3 linked regions of the Tribolium castaneum genome follow. The protein of the gene in region 1 binds, or shares a complex with, the protein of each later gene. Links are inferred from orthologs where the notes say so. Each region holds a gene or a part of one and is shown on either strand. Other genes may lie near its edges. The genes, in order: fl(2)d-associated complex component, vir and Mettl3.

Evidence for each region.
Region 2: fl(2)d-associated complex component (region 1) and vir share a complex: the UniProt entries of both Drosophila melanogaster proteins name them as parts of the WMM complex. The link is inferred for Tribolium castaneum from reciprocal best matches to the Drosophila melanogaster genes Flacc and vir.
Region 3: fl(2)d-associated complex component (region 1) and Mettl3 share a complex: the UniProt entries of both Drosophila melanogaster proteins name them as parts of the WMM complex. The link is inferred for Tribolium castaneum from reciprocal best matches to the Drosophila melanogaster genes Flacc and Mettl3.

What each region holds. Positions count from the first base shown.
Region 1 is NC_087398.1:11,171,017-11,177,857, forward strand, and holds the start of fl(2)d-associated complex component, read right to left. Parts: upstream 4,332-6,841; 5' UTR 4,069-4,331; coding exon 2,888-4,068; intron 550-2,887; coding exon 1-549. Other genes in the region: Xxylt (xyloside xylosyltransferase 1), read left to right, coding at 4,813-5,248, 5,297-5,438, 5,536-6,013; calcyphosin-like protein, read right to left, coding at 6,410-6,511, 6,557-6,766. UniProt on the Drosophila melanogaster protein: Associated component of the WMM complex, a complex that mediates N6-methyladenosine (m6A) methylation of mRNAs, a modification that plays a role in the efficiency of mRNA splicing and is required for sex determination.
Region 2 is NC_087394.1:22,053,387-22,060,304, forward strand, and holds the start of vir (protein virilizer), read left to right. Parts: upstream 1-3,218; 5' UTR 3,219-3,302; coding exon 3,303-3,359; intron 3,360-3,407; coding exon 3,408-4,112; intron 4,113-6,918. Other genes in the region: nudC domain-containing protein 1, read left to right, coding at 1,649-1,921; epimerase family protein SDR39U1, read right to left, coding at 1,960-2,157, 2,203-2,879, 2,928-2,958. UniProt on the Drosophila melanogaster protein: Associated component of the WMM complex, a complex that mediates N6-methyladenosine (m6A) methylation of mRNAs, a modification that plays a role in the efficiency of mRNA splicing and is required for sex determination.
Region 3 is NC_087396.1:23,065,599-23,072,701, reverse strand, and holds Mettl3 (N6-adenosine-methyltransferase catalytic subunit), read right to left. Parts: upstream 4,013-7,103; coding exon 3,431-4,012; intron 3,384-3,430; coding exon 2,936-3,383; intron 2,484-2,935; coding exon 1,891-2,483; 3' UTR 1,687-1,890; downstream 1-1,686. Other genes in the region: PHAF1 protein CG7083, read right to left, coding at 1-9, 66-277, 537-599, 672-863, 921-1,102, 1,148-1,275, 1,323-1,405, 1,572-1,635; protein bcn92, read left to right, coding at 4,136-4,212, 4,256-4,376, 4,426-4,494; Mat89Ba (nucleolar protein 6), read right to left, coding at 4,545-4,667, 4,712-5,769, 5,815-7,103. UniProt on the Drosophila melanogaster protein: Catalytic component of the WMM complex, a complex that mediates N6-methyladenosine (m6A) methylation of mRNAs, a modification that plays a role in the efficiency of mRNA splicing and is required for sex determination.

The sequences.
Region 1 (6,841 bases):
TCATAGTCCTTATCCTCAATCCTTCTCTCACTGTCGCGTAACCTCGCTGGGATCGCCCCATAATCCCGGTCCCGATCCCGTGACTCCCTATCATAGTTACGATCACTCGAACGTTCGTAACTCCGCTCATACCCTCGATCTTTTTCATCCCTGCGCTCAACCGATTTTCTTCGTTCAGGGGTGCGTTCCCTTCGGTCTCTTTCCCGACGATCGCTCGAATGTTTACGACTCGGAGGCACTCGATCTTCAGGCAATGGTAATAAGCGTTCGACTCTATCACTTGAAGGTTTATCAAGTCCTCGATCTTCACGTCGACTTCGTTCACGTCCTCTCCTTTCTTCCTCTTTCTTTGCGAGCTCCTTGAGACGTTCACGTTCACGCTGACGCTCCTGGCAACGGGCCAGTGCTTCTTCGCGTTCTTTTTCACGCGCTGCTTCACGTTCTTCACGCGCAAGACGACGTTCACGCTCACGTTCACGTTCACGATCGCGCGAATCTCGCTTGTCTTTGCGCGATTTGTCGTCGCTCGGACGGTCCTTGGCGCGAGGTCTGAAAGACGAAGAAATAAAATATTAACAAAGTTAAACAAACTTTAAAAATAGCGAATTCAAACGAACAAAACTCTAGCGGATTACGTACAACCTAAGAAATTGTCTAAGCTTTGTCATTTTTGATTGTGAGTTATTTATCATTGGGTGAGTTCCATGCTTCTTGATAAATTCTAAAATGATTACTCGGTATTATATAATTTCTCTCACGTCTACCCATCATTTTTCAAATAGTCAGAATCAATTGTTAAAAAGTATGTAATTTCAAAGGTAGGTGATAAATATAATACTCATATTTATCATTTAAAAATTGTTTCAGCGACAATAAATTGTGAAGAAAAGTTTGTGTTACCAGATAAAATATCACTCAAGTTAAATAGACGTAAAAATTAAGTTTAAGAAAAAAATTACTATCATAAAGTTCGACACTGTGTAGCAAAAAATTAATCACATGCAAAGGAGTAGAAATACTAAAGGAATAATAACAGTTATTGTTTTATTATTATTTACTGTTATTGTAGTTGTTGTTTATTTTTTATTTTATAATAAAATTTTAAAATAAAATTTCTGCTAAATAAAGCAAACGTGGATTACCAAAAAAATATGTTACACTTTGAAATGGTTTTTAGAAAAATTACTCCCCATTCTTCCAACAAATAATGTAATTGTAATGGACACTGCAAATCACCATTCGGCAAAAACGAAATAACATCGAATAAATTTTCCAAAAAGAAGAAATTCAAAAATTTCCATTTTTTTAAGAAAGTTTTTTTTTCCCCAATCATTGCAACTTTAATCCGATCGAGTTGATATGTGAGGAAGGTGAAACTTTGCGAAGAAATAAGTGAAATAACACTTCACTAAAATTTTATTGTGCCAGTACTCATTAATTATGGAAAAAAATTCAAAAATATCTTAGGTACATCAACGAACAAAACTGAGTAAAACACGTTGTTCGTAAAAAACCAGAATAAGAAAATTGGAAAAAAATTAGAAAAAATACTGCCTTAACAATTTAAAGTTTTTTCAAAGATTTAAAATTACAAAAAATACATTGAAAGAAGATATTAATGAAAGAAATGTTTTAGAAAACAAAGATTTTTTTGCATAAAACGTAAATGCTGATTACCAATCACAGAGCATTCTGTCAGGTTTATGACCTTTGTTCTTTAATTTTTATTTCCAATCCCAAGAGCTTCATTTTTTACTTTTTTTTGCTTACGTTTTTTTCTGTGTTTTTTTTTAATTGTAAAGAACTTCATAATTGTTTTTATTATTAATAGTAGCATAGTATTTAGTTAATATAAATAATAGTTAATGATTGCAAAGTTAAGCTAACTGTGAAACCTAAGTATACCTATAAAATTCTGAAACGGCTTCATTTAACTTATTAATTGGAAATGTACTTCACAATTTTTAAGCTAGTTATAACAACACTAAAAAAAACTTAAGTTAACAGTGATACCATCCATCAAAACTTTTAGATAAAATCAAAAATTATGTTAGCCAAACAAGTATGTATTTAAAAGGTGAAAACATCTTCAAAATTGTTAGAATTTCAAAAAAAACTGAAAAGGTGGATAGTTCAGTAGACAATGATTTAGGTAAGGGTTCAATAAATTTGGCAGTATCAAATTGAAGCATTCTAGATTTATTTACTCCAAAATAAAGCTAACTTTTGGGAAATTGTTTTATTTTATTATTTTCCACAATCATAGGTACCATAAATACCAACACTAAAACTTTTAGCCTGCATTTAAAAAAAAAACGCAATTTAAAGAGTGATCTTCAAACCCATCTTTGTGGGAAAGCCCCGAATATTTTTTTTCTTCTTCTAAATTTAGACTTCTGAAGTGATTCTCTACAATGCTCTGAACTATGGATTCGCCAATTTTGAGACACTCTGTACGTGTAAAATCTCTGAGCAGTTCAAGATAGAGGAAACTTTGAATTTGAGATTACACTCCACAGGAAGGTCAAAAGAAACATTTAAATGTGAGATTTTTGGAAACATTAAATCAAAGCTAGAATTTCTAAAAATAAAAATAATAATATGTAAAAGTTGAAGAAAATAAAGTGAAAATGAAACATTAAATGAAAGATTTTCGTCTTTTGATGAATACGAAAGCAGTGATAAACAAAAAATAGAAAGTGCTATTTAAAAGAAACATAATACATAACTAACATTGCTTTGAACTTCTTTCTCGCATATACAATATACAGTGCAATGCAAGGGGGAATCTGCTAAAAGCGTATCTTCAATGAAGACAGTTCTAACAAAATTTTAAAAAAACTTACGCTTTTATGATTTATTGTTTAAAAAACAGTTCGTTTCTTACCTATCCTTATCGTCCTTTTTATCCCGACTTCTCTCCTCCTTGGGCGGCGTCCCCTTGTGATCCCTTCGACTGCTCCCCGTGCTACCTTTAGACCGACTTGGTGAGCCCTTCTTATCCCTTGAATGCGACGAATCTGGAGTATCCCTCTTCTTAGTGTCTTTCGTCGACCTGCTGTCCCGTTTCGGCGACCTTGACTCTTTCTTTTTATGGTCATCCTTCTCCCTATCTTTCTTGTTCCTTTCCTTCTCCTTTTCGCGTTCGCGTTCCTTCTCCCGCTCCCGCTCTCTTTCCTTTTCCCTCTCCCGTTCCTTCTCCTTTTCCCGTTCTTTCTCTTTTTCTTTCTCCTTCTCCTTTTCTTTAGGTTTGGGAGAGGGCGTGTGGTGTTTCTCCTTACGGTCGCTTGACCGACTCGTGGGCCTTGGGGACTTTGCTGGGGGGAGCCCCGGCTTGATTTTGGGGGGCGGTGTTTGCGACTGTTTCCGACTGCGTTGCGGTGTTGGAGACTTGGCTTTTGGGGCTGTTTTAGTTGTTTTTTTAGTTTTGTCGGTGCGTTGTGACGATTTTGAGGATGTTCGTTTCGTTTTTGGTTTCTTTTTCGGGGGGCGCTCCGATGAGGATGAGGAGGAGTCGCGTTTGGTTTTGGTTTTTTTACTCTTCTTCCGACGCGTTTCTATGGACGAGGAGCTGCTGGAGGTGGAGTCGTCACTTGAGGAGGACGAGTCCGAGGATGATGACGAGCTTTCGGTCGAGGGGCTGCTCTCCTTCTTGGTTTTCTTGTCCTTTTTCCGGGCTTTGTTCTCCATTTTCATTTGTAGTTCGAGTTCTCTTTGCAGTTCTTGCCGGCGCTTTTCTAGATCATCAGGGTCGGCGTCGGCTAGTTCCTCCGGGTCCCAGTGGTCCCAATCCTCGTCTGGGTTTCCGGGATGGACCCGTTTATTTGCATTGTCCTTGCGCTGGGTCTTGGCCGCCCGTTTCGAGGGGCTGATCAGGGTGTGGGTGGAGGAGTACTTGCAGCCTTTTCCGTAGGGGCAGGTGCCGCTCTGGGCCCAGTGGTGGCAAAAGTCCTGGCTGGTGCTGGCTTTGGTGCCCAGACGCTCGAACACGCTGGGGCGAGGCTTCGAGACTTCTTTGCTTTTCGGAGTTAGGTTCACGGTTATTTTGCGCTTGACCTGTTTAGACATTTTCACTCAGAGTTCGCGAGGTGAGGAGGAAAAATTGCGAAGCACTTGACGCTACCATATTTACGTTTGACGTTGCCGGCATGGGAGACTGTGGGCTTATCGGCTAGGGGCCTCCTTACATCATGCCGCACAGATGGCGCCCAAAAAACACAATTTCGACTTGCAAACGCCCGATGGACACTTTTTTGATCAATCAAACGAGATTTTAGCCAATTCCCAAAAAACTGGAACGATTTGTTTTGCAAAAATGTAGCCACTTGACAGGTGATAGTTTTTTGACATTTAACAGACAACACCAGTGGCGGTCTCAACCTGAAATTTTACGGGAACAAAAATTTTAAAACTCAAAATCTGTCGATAATGTACACTTTATTATGATATATTTTTGATTATGCCCCACTTGCGAATGATTTAGATATTAATTTCGTAGTTTTGGTCTGTTTCAAATTGTTTTTATTTATTGACAAAAAGTCAGTAGCGTCGCGGCCAACATTTCAACAGGAGCAAAAATATTAAAAGCACTGTTTAAAGACCAATTTTCCATTAAGCAGCTTTCGCATTTTTAGTTCAATCAGTGATAAAGGCACATTTAATTAAATTAATCAAAATTCGTAATGTGGTCTTCAAACAAAAAGAGAGGTTATGTTGACAGTTGTTTGTGTTGTGTTATTGTGTAAAGGAAAAATAGAAATGTAACACTTAAAAAATGTTCAATTCCTGCGACAAACAGAGAAATGATTAACGATGTACGCCCCCAAAAAACCTAAACTACGATTTTTGTTAAAACTTGGAATTTTAATTGCTGCGTTATTAGTTGTTTATTTTACGTTTTTTCATTACAATTCCGATGGTTCTGCTAACGATGCAACATTTTTGTTGCCATTCAAAAAGCCTAAAGAATACAATGTCTGGTTGATATTTACTAAAGTCTCTCAAAGGTCGCCGTTAAGATATAAATTCCACAACTTGTTGGAGAATATTTTAAACATAAGTTCTGTTCCTTTAAAGTTCCATATTATTGTTGATAATAGCTCAAAGCAATTAGCAGTAGGTGAAATATCAGATGTGGTGTCGCATTCGAATAAAGCAATATTTTATAAATTTTATGATGTTGAAGCGTGTGCAAGAGCGATTAGTGATATTGTCGACGTTATGACCCCTCATTTTAGTTCAAAACCGGGTAAAAAGGCTTACTTTTTAATTGCACTATTACTAGTTTTGACTTCAGGTACTTACTACAGCGACGCACTTTTCTATATTTCTTTGGGGCTGTATCGGATAGCCCCACCTTCCCAGCGAACTGCCCTTCTACTAGACTGTGATTTATACTTTAAGAAGGATATTCGATTAGTGTTTGAGGAGTTTGACAAGTGAGTTTATGAAATTTCTTATTCTGGTCAAAGTGACCTGTGACTGACATGAAGTCATAGATCACTTTGATCGGAATTTAATTCAACTGTTTGATAGGTTTAAGCCAACTGCGCTTTTTGGTTTGGCCCCCGAGCTGACTCCAGTCTACCGTCACGTCCTCCAAACCTATAAAGTGAAAAAGAACTCAACATTCGGAGAATATTATCATTCCAAGGCGATATCGAGCAATATGCAGCATCCTCGTGGCTTCCAGGGCTATAATTCCGGTGTTGTTTTGATTAATTTAAGTGCAATAAGAAAATCAAAGGAATATTCCCAAATTATCAGGAATGAAACTGTGCAATATCTCACGTCCAAATACAAATTTCGAGGTCATTTGGGTGACCAGGATTTTTATACTTTGATAGGGTTTGAATATCCTGATTTGATTCAAACCATAAATTGTGGTTTCAATCGCCAATTGTGCGTCTGGTGGCGAGAGCATGGCTACCGTGATGTTTTTGATTTTTATTTCAAGTGTCAACACCCCGCTGTTATTTTACATGGAAATTGCAACACGAAAATTCCAAAATAAATTAAAGACTGGTCATCTATTCGTGGAATCTCTACACGTCCACTAGTAGTTTTGGGAAAATTTGAGTTGGCAGCATTGGTTATTGCCAATCAAACAATCATGTGGTATGACCCGGTATATTAGGTACGAGTGCATTACTGGGTTGTGAAAGTACTCATTTATTTTCTTGTTTGTAAAACAGTATTTTTCAAAAATAAACAGTTTTTTATTTTTCGATTTGTTTTCTTAAGAATTGAAAAAAAATCCCATGATAGTCGAAATACATGTATTTAAATCTATAGATCGGTTACAATATAGGAATACAACAGGAAACATTCGAGTAATAAAACTTCGTATTCAGTGAGTTATAAATAGTGAATTTAAAAATTCAAAAATTGCAAAGCACTGGGTTCATTATTACAGTTTGTAAGCCTGTCTCATCATTAGGTCGAAATAGCCGTCATTGTCGATCGAGGCACTGATGGCCGAATAATAATTAAAAAATTCTTCGTGGGTTACCTACAGAAATTAATTAAAACTTTTGTTCAATCTTCATTAACCAACCTGTCCGTCTTTGGTGGCGTCCTGTTCAAAATTTGCTAGAAATCGTTTCAGAATATTTTCCTCAGTTTCTTCGCCTGAAATGTATCGAGGATGGGCTTTGACGTTGTAAACATTTTTCAAATCGTCTATTGTGATCACTCCGTCTCCCGTTTTGTCCATTTTCTTGAACGCTTCTTCAACGACTTTCTTGCGTGACTCAGACATTGGGGGCTGGAATAAAATATTCAGAAACTAGGTCACAAGCAACAAGTCCTTGATCTAAGTAGTGTTTACGCGAAATGTGGT
Region 2 (6,918 bases), on another chromosome or scaffold:
AAAAAAAAATAAAAAAATTATTAGTCTAAAATAAGGTATAAAATTCATATGAATTAGATGCTATGACTTAATCCAGGTAGGTCAGAATTTAACTTAAACTTAACTTAAAATACTAAGGACCGGTTTATGGAAACATCATTAATTTAATTCGCAATTAAATGGATGATTAACGGATCACGTGACCAAATTGAAGCAGTTTGGTTGGTCCATTCGCGTTGTTAACTTTTAACAACGTAATTAGCTTTAATTGAGCTTTTATTTTAGCTTTTAGCTTTTATTTTAGAATTCCAAAATTTTTTTCCGCGTTTGGTTTACTCATATTCAAAATAAGTAGCACAGTTGTAAACGCCTATTAGTAGAGCTTCTAATTATAAAAACGGTACCGTTTCATTTAAAAAAAAAATATAATGACGTCATGGTGGCGGTACAATGGCCGCCAAAACTGATCTAGTTCAGTGAAATTTGAGCTCAGTTAAAATGCAAAGTTACCTGTTTTTGCATTTTTTTAAATAAAAAAATTCCGAAATTTACTCTGTAGGTGCTTACACTGTTTTTTTAATTCAGTCATTGCACTGCATTGTTTTTCTAATTTGTTTTGGTTTTTAGAATACATCGTTTTAAGTTCATTTTCTTTTGATTCGTCATAAACTCATAAATTTGTGTAAGCGATTTGTCAGACACGTAATTGTGTACATCTTCATTCTCGGATTCAGATATATTAGGATATTTTTGTTTTTTTACACATTTTTTTTATTCTCTCGTAATTAACTTGTAACCCCATTCTAAAATAAGTATCCAGTTTCATAAAAAATATGCAAAGGGATAAGGAAAGCATTTGAAATTCCAAATACGATTAAAAGTTTTTAAAGATACATGAAAATATATATCACTAATGTGCTTAATGTCTATAGTTTTGTGGAAGGACTTGAGCAAAGATTGCAGAATCCTTGATGCCGGATACTAATAAATGTATTTTTTCTTCATTTTTAGGGTACCTAGTTTTTGCCAAGAACACTATAATAATTATTAGCCTTAAAAATTGCAACTGCTCCAAGTTTTACTTTTTCCTTCCATGCTTAATTTAAATAAATAACATCTTTGAGCATTTAATTTCATTATTCAATAATGTATTAATTAACTAAATCGGACACTTGTTATGGAACGGAGGGAGTATTATTAATATTTTATCTGTTGCCTTAATTTTTTCATCTAATTCTTGATTTTCTATATTTTTATGTTTGAGCATCCGTTCTGACTCTCTAGCTCTTATTTGGAAGTTAATAAAAATATGGAATTAATTTTCTTAAAAAAGGTTCCGCACAAATGCCTCTACCTTTAATGGAAGAACAAAACCGTCGAAGATAGAGTGTTCGGTGTTGCGCAATTTTCAAAGGAAATTTGATTCTTTACAATTACAGCATTTTTACAGTACTTATTCTCGACGTTTTCTCGTTAGTTTTTGCATCTGAGATGCTCTTCAGGGCAATAATTTTTAATTTGTTGGTGTTTTCTAATAATATAATTTCATAATAATATATTTCATAATTCATAATTTTTTAGCTATAGAAAATTAGGTGATTTTGATTTCGGTTCGCCTTGTAGTTTTAGTACTCCGACTTTGAATAATGTTTCTGATTTGGTTTTCTAGGCGTCAAAACAACAAATGAAGTTTTTTGTGGCCTCTCCTGACCTGAGTTACGCCGCTATTTGCGAATCGACCAAACACATTTTTATTTATTGCCAAAATAAAAGCATCGGTTTGAATCAGTTAAGGAATAGAACGACTGGGAAAAGAGTAAACGCATTAGCACAGCAACAAGTCTTCAGTCTACCTTCAAACGAGGAAATTTTAGGGATTTATGCTTCAAATACTTGTTTATACGTGTTGGGAGAAAATTTCATAACGGCACTTAAATTGTAATTTTTTATTAATTTTTGTAACATTTCAATAAATAAGTTTCACTCTTTTGTAACAACTTGCTGGCATGCTGACGCAATATCAGGATATTTATACTGAAACCCTAACGACATTGTCCTCTTTGGCAAGACTTTTTGTCCCTCAGTCAGCATATTAGCCCTTTCTTCACTAAGCAGAACATTCAAGACGAACTTAGGGACGGGAAAAAAAGCCGGACGTCTCAGAGCTTTAGCAAAAGCCTGAAAAACTCAATAAATTACTTACCCAAAATTGCAAAGCCATACGTCTGAAAATTCCTTGTTTGTGACATTTTGTGGAGCCACTCCATTCAGGGTCCCTTCAACTTTATCATTTTTGAGTGCAAATAAAATCAGTCCGGTAAGATCTTCAATGTGTATCCACGGTAAGTACTGATCACCTGGCATGACAGGGCCCCCCAGTCCACAAAAGAACGGCAAATAGAGCTGTTTGATCATCCCTCCGTTTCTCCCCAAAACAACGCCGCTACGGATCGTCACTTGCCTAGTAGGCCCTTTTGGAAGCTTGGCGGCCTTTTCCCATTCATGACAAAGCCGTGAGAAAAAATCAAACTCGGGTTCTACACTCGCTTCATCATATTCTCTGACTTTATCTGCTTTGTAAATTCCAACTCCTGATATGCTCACAAAAACTGAGGGTTTGTTTTGCGCGTTTGAAATTGCTTTAGCTAGGGATGAGGTGGTGTTGACTCTCGAGTTGAAGACGTTTTGTTTAAAGCCGGCGTTCCAGCGCTGTTTCATGTCTAGGACATTTTGTCCAGCTAAATTAATCACAGCTGTTGTTCCTTCGGGAAGTCCGACGTGGTTCAAGTCGTTCCAGGTCATGCGTTGGGGACCCGGCATCCGGGAAATGACGGTAACGCCATACCCTTGTGACTTCAAAGCATTACATAAGTGACTTCCTATGAAGCCCGTACCGCCCCCTTAAACACTGTATTAACTATGTACGTGGTACAGGGGGTGAAACTAACCCACGAGAGCGGTGCCTAAAGCTTTGGACATGTTCGTTGATGAAAAAAATGTGATGGTTGTTTTTAGCCAAACATCTCATAACCTATAACATAAATTATATAAACGTCTCTGTATTATTAAAATATGACTAAATTAATAAGCTAAATATTGAAAATAACACAAACAGTGCGAATAAACGGTAGAAAGCTCATAGAATTAGAAGTTTTTTGTATATTTACATTTTCAAATGACGTTAAGTTGGTGCACCTGTCTCCAAAACATAACCTAAAAGTTTGTTATTGTGTGTGCTAACCACATTTTTCCTCCGAATTTTGTAAACTATCGGTGGTTTTTACGTGTAATTGTGAAAAATATGGAAAACTAACATTTCCAAAATGTCAGACGTGGTCGAATTGCTCTTTTTCGACACTTTTGCCCACGACAACACCGAGGTAAGTTTTCGGCCTTTTGTTTCCTCGCTTACGAGTTTCGTAAATTAGGAGCTAAACTTGGATCTGGTGCAGTTCCCCAAACCCGTGTATGTAACCGAAGTTCGTATTATTCCTCTGGGGGCTCGGGTCCAAGCGGATTTCCCCGGTGGCGTCCGCCTGGGGGCTACAAACCCCAGTCAGTTTCAAATCGAGTTTTTTGTAAATGATTTGGGGAAGCCTGGTGCGAGTACTTTTGAGAGTTTAGGGGGGTTCGAGTATAATCAAAACGGTTGTATCAATTTGAACTGCGTTCCGGAAGATACTGTTAGAAAAATACCCACAGATGGGTTGGTTTTGAGGGGGTGGTACACGACCATCACCCTAGCGGTTTATGGTACTTTGACTAATAACATTACTGAACAAATTATTCAACCTGTTGTGAATCCGGCTTTACCAACGCAGCCCAATACTATAGCAGACGCCCAGCAGATAATTTCAGGAAATAATATTGAAAATGAGTGGAGTCAGGAAAATATCACAAGTGTTCCAATTGAATATAATCAGAATGCCGCCCCGTATCAGCAGGGCTATAATCAGCCTGAGAATTACCCTCAGGAATACAACGAGTATTATAGTGATGTTCCTAAGGACCCTAGGAGTTACCATCACCCTCCTGAGGGAGATTGGGACACGAAGGTGAGACCCAGAAGTGGCGAAAATGACAGGGATAGAGAGCGGGATAGAGACAGGGAACGGACCAGGGAGGGATATCAGGTAGGTCCCAAAACGCAATTGCGGTTCGTGAATTGAAAACCAGGTGAAGACTGAAGAGGTAGTTTTTAGAGCAAGTTTTGTTGTTGTCATCTTAAAAATTTCCAAAATTTTATTTTTAAATGTTATTTTGAGCCAATTTGCTAAAAGCTCGTTTTATAAGTGACTATTTTTTTATTTAAAAAAAAAAAAAGGGAAAAACCTACTTTTCTCATGAAGTTCTGATCAAAGTTAGAAGGTATGACTTCTAGCCAAAAGTTTAGTTATTTCAGGTAGTATTTTGCATGCATTCCATAGAACAGGTAAAAATCACAAATAATGGTTGAAAGTAAAATAATTATTGTAGCGTTAATTTAAGTTAAGTTGACTGTAATTTAGCTCAAAATCGTCCTTCTTTTGTCCTGTTCAGAATGATTTTATTGAAACACGTCGAAAAAATTATCAAATTAAGTCGAGAATTATGTGCTTTTGAGTTGTAAACTCACGTATTATGCGAAACTTCTCTCTAATTCGCCGCAAAATTTTAAAATTATAAGATTGAGAAATTAATTTGTGCAATCCCTCGAAAACTCGAATAATGACGTAACTAGTTTAATAATTGAAGGGGCTATGTATTTGTGATTTTTTGACTTACACAATTATTTACGTGCTTTCAAAGTTTCATTTCGAAAAAATTCTTTATTAGATTTGCAGTTATGTTAGCTAGGTTTTACTAAATTATATATATATCATTATTTATTATTAAACATGTATGTATTTGTTAAACAAGAAAATAGTTAGTTTCAGTTAAAATTAAGTTAAATGTGTACGTTACACTATTTTATAGGTACATAAATTTTGAGCATGATCTTTTTTGAAATGGAAAAAACATACATAAGACTAATTTATTTTTATAGTGTGCAGTTAGATCCGTAAGTGAACAATACCAAATTAATTGTATATACTCCCTTCAACCAATTTGCAACAACTAACTTTTACAAGAAATTTTACAGAAAAATACGAATGTGTGAAGCATATTTTAATTAAACGATATTAAAATAGTCTATATTTGTAAAATTTTCAAAATTCAAAAATTTTCAAAAAAAGTTACATTGCCCCTTCATCTACTAAGCCTGTATTTTTGTCTTTTTCAAATGCTCAAACATATTTTTTTGTTCAAATAATTCCAAAAATTAAGTTCTATTTAATTTGTTACCACAACAAGATAAAATCCTCCCCAAATTTTGGGGCCTAAAACCGCAATGATTATCATGCCCATTGTTGATGATTGCAGTAAGGGATTCTAAAGACAATAATATCTCAATATGTAATGCACGAACTGTGACGCTCTGTGTAGGGCCACTTGCTGTAAACATTAACAGTGACCATGACAGCTTCTGCAGTTTTGAGGAGGTTTTTGTGTTTTTATGAGATAAACATAGCAAATTAGATAAAACTTCACTTGGAGATGGAGCTTGTTAGTACGTTTTTCAGCCCAAAATGGTATTAAAAATCACGAAGGAAGGGTTGACAACGACATTATTTTCGTCTTTTTCATTAGATCATATTTTTGAGTAATAAGCTCATTTTACGATATTTCGCCAAAAATGACGAAAGTCAGTGTTTTGACCTACTAAGGATGATTTTTAGCTTACTGCTAACTTTTTTTTGTGAAACAGCGTTAAAACAGACAGAAAAATTAGTTAATTATGTCGCGAATTACGTTATTTTGAGCTAAAAACTTATTTACTTTACTGAATAATCCCTCTAATGTGGCGAAAAATTTCTACTGAGTGTCGAAAATGGCGTTCTTTTGGTCTGCTACATTAAATTTAACTCGTTTATAAGTGAGAGTCTGTTTTCTTTTTACGAAATAACCCTCAAAATGCCGACCATAACGTTACTAATTTACTTATTATTAAGTATTTTATTTTAGTATTTTCGTCGTTTTCAAAATTTAAATGCCCAAAGTTCAAAAATTTTTCCTAAATACTGGGAGTTCAAAAACTGGCACACCAACTCACTGTTACGTTGTTGAGAAGCATGGGTAGATTTCGGGAAAAATCTTGAAAAAAATCCTAAAGTCATGTTTTAGAAAATCTTCAGCTAAAAACTTTTGTTAATCTCTTCACTGTTCATTATTTTTTAAAGTTGCTATGTTTCATAATAATTAATCGATCCCTAGCACAATGATGGATAATTATATTAAAATTTACTATCATACTTTAGTAGTTTTTTTAATTAAAAAAATTAAATTTGTCAAAAAATCACAATTTGTAGATGTGCCAACACTGGGAATTATTTCCTGGGAAACCGTTACAAAAATAATTTATTTTTATTGTTGATCAAATTATATTCGGAAGTAAAATTACCGTTGGGGGCGCCACTGAGCTAGGTCGAAAACAGTAACCATAAATGGCGGGAAAATGTTTATTTAGATGTTTTGAGCGTTGTACGAATTTTGAGGCTTCACAATTATTACAATGCTTATGCGGAATGACTATTGTATCTTTGGTGTAAGAAACGAATGTTGACAAATTAGAGATGACGAGGAAAACACGAATAACGAATGACTGTTTGGTTCACTTTCTTTATTGGAAAATTATTACAAAGACAGTGAAAAGCCTACCTTTTGGCATAATTTACGTTTAAATGTATCAGCAGTTGTTAATCTTAAATGTAGTTTTGTAGATTTACAGAAGTATTTCATGATTTTTTCAGTGGAAAAATTCTACCTAAAATTCAGACACTTCACTAATTTATTGGTTTCTTGAGCCCAACATGTGCTCGCTGTAATCTATCACTTATAGTCTTTAATTACACAACTGTT
Region 3 (7,103 bases), on another chromosome or scaffold:
CAGGACGTCCTTGATGAGAAAAAAAATCAAGTATGGGACACCTACACGGGAAAGGAAACTATTACCAATCCCAACGTGAAATAATTGAAGAAATAGTCGCTCTTAGTGTCGGCGTCGCGACGCAGGGCGTTGGGGGTGTGAATCCGCATTTTGTCCTCACTTTTATAGAAGACTTCATTGGGGGCCCCTAAAGCCGTGGCCACGTCTTGGGCCGTGTGCCCCAAGAGGATCTCACGGTCGAATTGGATTTTTGAGTCCATTCGACGGTTGTTTGAGCCTAAAATAGGCTTAATTCAAACGATGATTCAACTTTTGCGGGTCAAGCGTTAAAATAAAGGGTTAACACAACACAAAATTAGAGCGTTAGAATCAGAGAGGACTAAAATAGGCGGCGATTTACGTACAAAAAAAATATGAGTTTATTTCTTCGGCTTATTATTTTTGAGAATTAATTAAAAAAAATTGTCATATGCTCCTAATATTTCAGTCCCCCTTGTTATAATAAAGAAAAAAGCGCGAAATCGTTTGAAACTTACTAAACCTCATCTCTTTTACCGGCCTAATTAATTTGTTCTTATTGGTAATAACCGTGCGGTTAACTAAAATATTGAACATTCCGTTTACAATAATTCATCCAGAGAATCAATTTTCGTGATTAGTTTGACACACACCTGCAAGGAGGCTGAGCTTGACTCCTCTGGTGTAGCACTCGCCCCTCAAAATTTCGGCCTTTTGGAGGTACAATTGGCCGTGGTAACAAGACAGGGGCAGTTCGGGGGCGCAGGCCTGCTCGATATTTGAGCCGTAGTAAATCGTCATGCGTGACACTAGCGGGGAACTCCCTGGGGGGAATTGGAGAGAACCTGTTATTTCACGTAACAAATAAACTTGACACTGGATATTACCCCGGACCGGCTTACCCAGATTATGGGTGTTTCCAGACTGGAATTTTGATTCGACTGGAAAATAGAACGAAAGTCCCCGAAAATTCAATATGAATAGCTCCTTCTCCGAATCATATACTCCTGGATGAGTGGCACCGAATGAGTGTTCAATTTGTTCGATTGATGGCAGTACTTCTGGCGAGTTAAATGGGAGGTTACTGGAATAACAAATGAGAAAAAAGAACGTAGGGCTAAAACGTTACCAGTATTTTAACTTGACTAATTTCATACAGTATATTTCGATTATTTTTAGCCGCTGTGAAATGGGGTCAAAAAATAATCTAATGCCGTCCTGGGGTAAATTAAGAACGAGGTCTATGTCTAAAGGGTTCTGAAAAATCGTTAGTGAGTGTGTGGTTTGGGGCCGCTCTTTCTTACAGTATCGTTATAGAGGACTTGTACATTCTTTATGTTGCCCACTTGGGACTGAATAATTGCAATAGCCTGGGAAAAATGCATTCCTGAAAAGAGAAAATTCGAAATTACATTTTGAAGGTCGCCAACCAATTAGCGTTACGTAAAATGGGTCAAATTTCCATTCAGTGTTGGCCGTCACATCGCCCCATCGCAAAAACGATGTCAACCATGTTACGCGCAATAAAAATAATAGAGAAAAGGGAAACCCACCTACAATAAACTCCCACTGTTCACAGCCCAAAGAACGTTCAGGAACAACGTTGAGCGTCAGCATTTTCCGCAATCAATAAAAACCAGTCTTTAATCAACAATAATACACAACAAGCAACAAATCAAAACTGTTTATTCTTTTTCTCTTAAATCGAACGATCCTTTGTCTAAAAACTCGTAAAACTTCCAAGCGCCATCTTGTCAAACCTGACATCTGTCAAAATCAGCTGATGCCCCCCCAACTCCACGCGATTAAAGACACTAAACCACCAGTCAATAAGGCAAAAAGTCGCCACCACTCCACCAAAACATAAACAAATTAATGGGTCGTGTCACCGGGGGGCCCCATACAGTTCCCCGTGGGGTAGCGTTTCTTGAAATTCTCGATCAGTTCTGCGTCGACCAGCTTGATCCCGTCCACTTGGTTCCCCAAAGTGATCCAGTTGGGCTGGATGTTGTGGGGGCGCCCGAACAGCTCGATTTTGCGCGTCCCGGGCGAGAGTCGCTCGATCATTCCGTAGATTTCGTCCGGTTTGTGGCTCGTGGCGCGCACTTCGGCCACGATCACGTCCGAGTCTAGTCCCCGGTTGAGGTTCTGGGGGTTGCCCTTCATGCCCACGAGACAGTGCTCCTTGCCGTGGTTCAGCCAATGGCCGGTGCGCCCCGTCCTGATAATGCGCTGCAATTGGTTCGTCTTCACCCAGATTATTTCGTCAACGCGCTCGTAGCCCCACAATTGGAGGCACTCGCGGCCCAGCTCCATGGCACGGCCTGTCACCCACAGGAAAATCAGGCCCTCGTCTTGCAGCTGGGGGATCCCCAGCTGACGCATCTCGTCGTCGGACATGGTCCCATAGGGCAGCTCCATGTGGATGTCCCAGGGGGGGTCCGCCATTATCACGGCGAATTTTCCTAAATTCAACCATTAATATTTTCGGAAATGTCGGGGAAAAACAGTTATTTAAAAAAATCATCGTTCTCCGACAGTTTTCGAGATAATTGCAAAAAAAATAAAAAAAAATAAAATGAAAAAAATTCGTAACTTAAAAACTACTGGGTATTTGGCGATTTTCTCGTCACCAATCGATTCCCCGGATTATTTTACATTGATTTCCATCAAAATTGTTCCACTTTTTTGAATAGTTTTGCCATAATTGAGCTGAAAAATGAAGGTAGCCATTTCAAGAGGAATTTTTAATTCTACAACAAAAAAATTTATAACTCAAAAGCTAAAAGTCGTAGAGCAAAACGGTTTGTTCCAGTGAATTCTGGGCTCATTTGACGTATTATGGCAGCTTTTCACAAGATTTTAAATTTTGGAAGTCACGACCAAACGCAAATATTATTAAGACCGACAAACAAACCTAAGACAGTCATGTCGAGATAGCGCAGGTCGCACTGCACCCACTGCGGGGGGTACAAGGTAGTGCTTTCTTTTGGGGCCACTGAGACGGCGGTGGCGGCCGGGGCTACGCCCTCCGTTTGCCCACAGCGATCGACTTCATAGTGGACGTATTTACAAGTGTCCATGTGGAAACAAGTGTTAAGGAAGGAACAATCCCCTAAAGCTTCGTCAGTGTGTTTTTGTATGATTTTTTTAAAATGCAATTTTTTGCAGTCTGTGATTCCGTTTCGTTCGCAGTCGGCGCGAGTCCCATGGGGGCAAAACTCCATCAGTTGTTTGCCCCCTTGAGACCTGAAGCGCTCGGCCAGCGAACGCTCTTTGGCCGTTGGTTTACTCAACAGATCTAGAATTTCTTCGCCCAGTTTTTTACTCTCTTTTTCTTTCGTTGAGGGCATTGATAGTAAAGACTAGGGAAATTAATTAATTAAAAGGACAGAATCAATCAGTTAATTACCATGATGTCAGCTTTTGGTTCCTTCTTCTCTTTTTTCCTCTTCTCTTCGTCTTCGTTTTTCTCCGAGTCGTTTCGCTTCCGCTTCAGGGATTCCCTCACCCGTTCAGGCAAAAACTCCGCAATCATTGCGTTAACTTTAGTCACATCGATAAAAGTCACTTCGACCACGTTCTTCCCCTCTTTGACTAAATCCTTGATAGTGATCAACTTCTGAGTTGAGAATTTTTGCAACAAATTGCAAACTTCCTTATGTGAGGCATGTCGCTTCAAAGTCAATTTCAACGAATCGACCAATTCCGTCGAAGTTGTGGGGATCTGAAGAGTGACTTCGCTCAGCGCCTTCAACAACTCTTTCTCCAGCTCTGGGTCGATTTTCACCAAATCGATTTCACCCTCCTCTGGTCTTTTAACATCTTCGCCCCCAACACCACCCGCATGGGGGCTGTCGGACAGGTGCACAGGTGACGAGTTGAGACTCGAACCAAGGATGTCCTGCCGCTCCTTCTTGCGCTTTTCCAGGCGTTCGCGCAGGATGTTCCGCTTGCTTTTGATAGCTTGGATCTCTTCCCAAGCGTCCGACATTTCAAAAGACTATTTTCCGCCAAAAAAACACAACTAACACATGTTTGAGGTTACGGCTAACGCTAACTAACACAACCTCAACTCTTTGGTTATGTTCTTTCGGTTTCGTAAAATTGGGGCAAAATGAGTAAAAGACAGGCGTTGCAGTTGTATAAAGCTCTGATTCGCGAGTCGAAGAAGTTTCCGGCTTATAACTTCAGGTAAGGGCGTTTTTGCAAACGATTTTTTCATTGGGGGTTGTAGACACTATGCCTTAAGGAAGATAAGGGACAGTTTTCGGGAAAATAGACAATTGACTGACCAGGACGTGATTAGGCAAAAAATGGATGAAGGAGTTCGTAATTTAGATGTAATTAAAAGACAGGTATTCACAATTAATTCGTTTAGGGGTTAATTGACGTAATTATCTCCAGGTGGTCGTAAGTCAATTATATAGCACCGAAAAACTGGTTATTGAGCACGTGAGGGCCCAAAAAAACTAATTTGTAAGGTTTGTAATGGTTAGAAATAATAAGAGTAATTGTTTGATTTTTTATTTCTTCTTATCAATTGACTTGACTAAGCCTTTTCCCACAATATAAAAGTCTTCAATCAACGCATCCACGTTCAGCTCCAATTTTCCATTCACAAGTTTCCTCCCGCTTGCATAAGACACCTAAAAATAAATGTAATAAATCAAAAAACATCTAAAAATCTCACCTTGAAGTCTCGACTTTCCAAAGCTTTAGGTATCCACAAAACCCCGATAAAATTACCTCCGTACGTATCGTGGAAAAAATTGGCAAAATCGCCGTAATGTTTGCGCAGTTCGGCCAAATACAACTGAACTGGGTTAAAGCCAGTGACTGGAATTTTCGTGCTTTCGTTTCTGTTAAATTCCTCCAAAACAATTTGCCCCTCGGACTCGTCCCCAGTGACTTGTTCGTGTCGTACGGGGTTCAAAAGGGGGCGCAAGTGAATAATAACATCGTACCCCTCAAGATTCGGAATAAACAAGCTTTTAATTGAACCAAAACTCTCTCCTTTGATGATTTGCCCAAAACAATTCAAAGACTCACTTGCCAGTTGTTTGACCCTCCGCAAGACCAACTTCGAGGGCCCCCTTTTGGTAAAAACAGACTCACAGCCGTCGTACGGCATTGCGATAAATAAATCGGGCAAAGCCTCGCGATTTTGGAGGAGTTTCGAGTCGATTTCTGCAAGTGTCTCACTTGCAATCTCATTGTTGAAATTGACCACAACCGCCTGAATATCGCACTGAAGCTCGCTAACAAATTTCAAAAATCGCAAAAAGCCAACTTGGGGGGTCACCGAAGCCCCCTTGAGAAACAACGAAGCGTTGAGTAAATTAATCACGTGGTCGGGAAAGTGGTAGTCGTCAATGAGTTGTGACCTTAGCCACCGTTTGATAAGGGCGGTGCTAGGTCCAAAGCTCGGAAACTGTGATTGGATGCCTTTAAGAGCGCCCGTAACACGTGGCAAAATCCCCAATTGCAATTCGATGTCCCGGCTCATGGGCGTGTCCTTGTACGTTGTCACGCCGTTATTGGTCGACTCGCGCTTCAGAAGCCCCACCTCCCGGGGCAGGTACAGACGGTACCTGAAGACGTAACCTTCGTACAAAACGTCGAGAAATTCCGGCTTGACGCTTGCTACGATCTTGTGCTTCTTGTCCAATTGTTTGGCGATTTCTAAATAGAAGGCGGTTTTCATATGTCGAATGGCGGTCAAGTTCTTCGGCCATTTTGAGCTGTGTTCTGTAAATTAATTACCAAACTGTGGTTTAACCAATTGTTAATTACCTAATTGCAAGACACACTCGATTGGTTTGACGTATCTTGGCACAATCCCGCGTTTTTTCTCGTTGAGGACTATATTATTTTCCAGGGGCGGAGTTACTAAACTTCCGCTCCTGTAATTGGTCGAAATTGGCGGGAATACATCGGTGAAACTGAAAACATCGGTGATTCCCTGCACTCCGGTGATTGCCAACGGCATTTCGAGACTTCGCAATTTTTTGCCTAATTCGTCACTCGCTGCGATTGCTCGCACACAGCCATCCTCATTGGTTGCGGTGGGGTAGGGGGCGGTCACTTTCTTATTAACCAATAGCTCTTCAAACTCGTCGTAATGAAGCGAATACTCCAAGCCCAGTTTTTTACAAATGACCCAATCAACAATAGTTTTAATTATTTCGCGCCTTTGTTTGATTGTTTGGGTCTCGAAATAAACAGCAACACACACAGAACCGTCCTTGAAACGCCGATCAGTGGCCAAATCGCCCCAAAATTCCTTAAACTCCCGCTCTTGAGGGTCATTAAGAGCTGGGCCTTTTTCCAAAATGTGAAACGCATTACTTTGGTCTAAGTTAATCCCAAAGGTGATTTTATCGACTTGGCTTTGTGTTGTTACTATGGGAACGATGAGTGTTGCGCGCTTGTTTAACCCCTTTTCTAACACACCCTGTATATATTTTATAACGAACAGTTCCGGGTGACCCAAAAATTTCGTCCGCTCATCGTCGGTCATTTTCTCGCCGATTTTTGCGACTTTAACGTTCAGAATCAAATCGTACTGAAGCTCGAGTGTTAATTTCGTGATAAAAAGCGAATGGAACGAATTTATCCCTCCGTCTAGGAGTTTAAACGCGATTTCGCACTCACTTTTGATTTTTTTATAAACTTGTAAATTGAGAAATGACGCAACGTTGTAACAACCACTCCGATCCAACAAAACAACGTCGTAATTTTCCTTAAACGAGTCTAAAACCTCCGGTTTTGTGTCATCACTCAGACTCAGGGGCGTTTTACTCAAATCAGAGTCGCTGATAAAATTCCAAAAATTGCGAACGATTTGATACGAGCTCATGTATTTGTTGATTTTCTTTTTGGTGAATAAGTAAACGATGAAGTAAAGTATTAGTTCATCGGTGAAGGCCCCCAGTCCCTCGTTGAGCCCCCTTTGAACGAGCCAGACATAAATCAACTTAACTGCTTCTTGGGCGTTTGTCAGTTCGGTTAAAGTTTCACGAATGAACGAATTGTTTAAAGTGAGAGTGGCATCATGCGCTAGCGAAGCGTTGTAGTATATC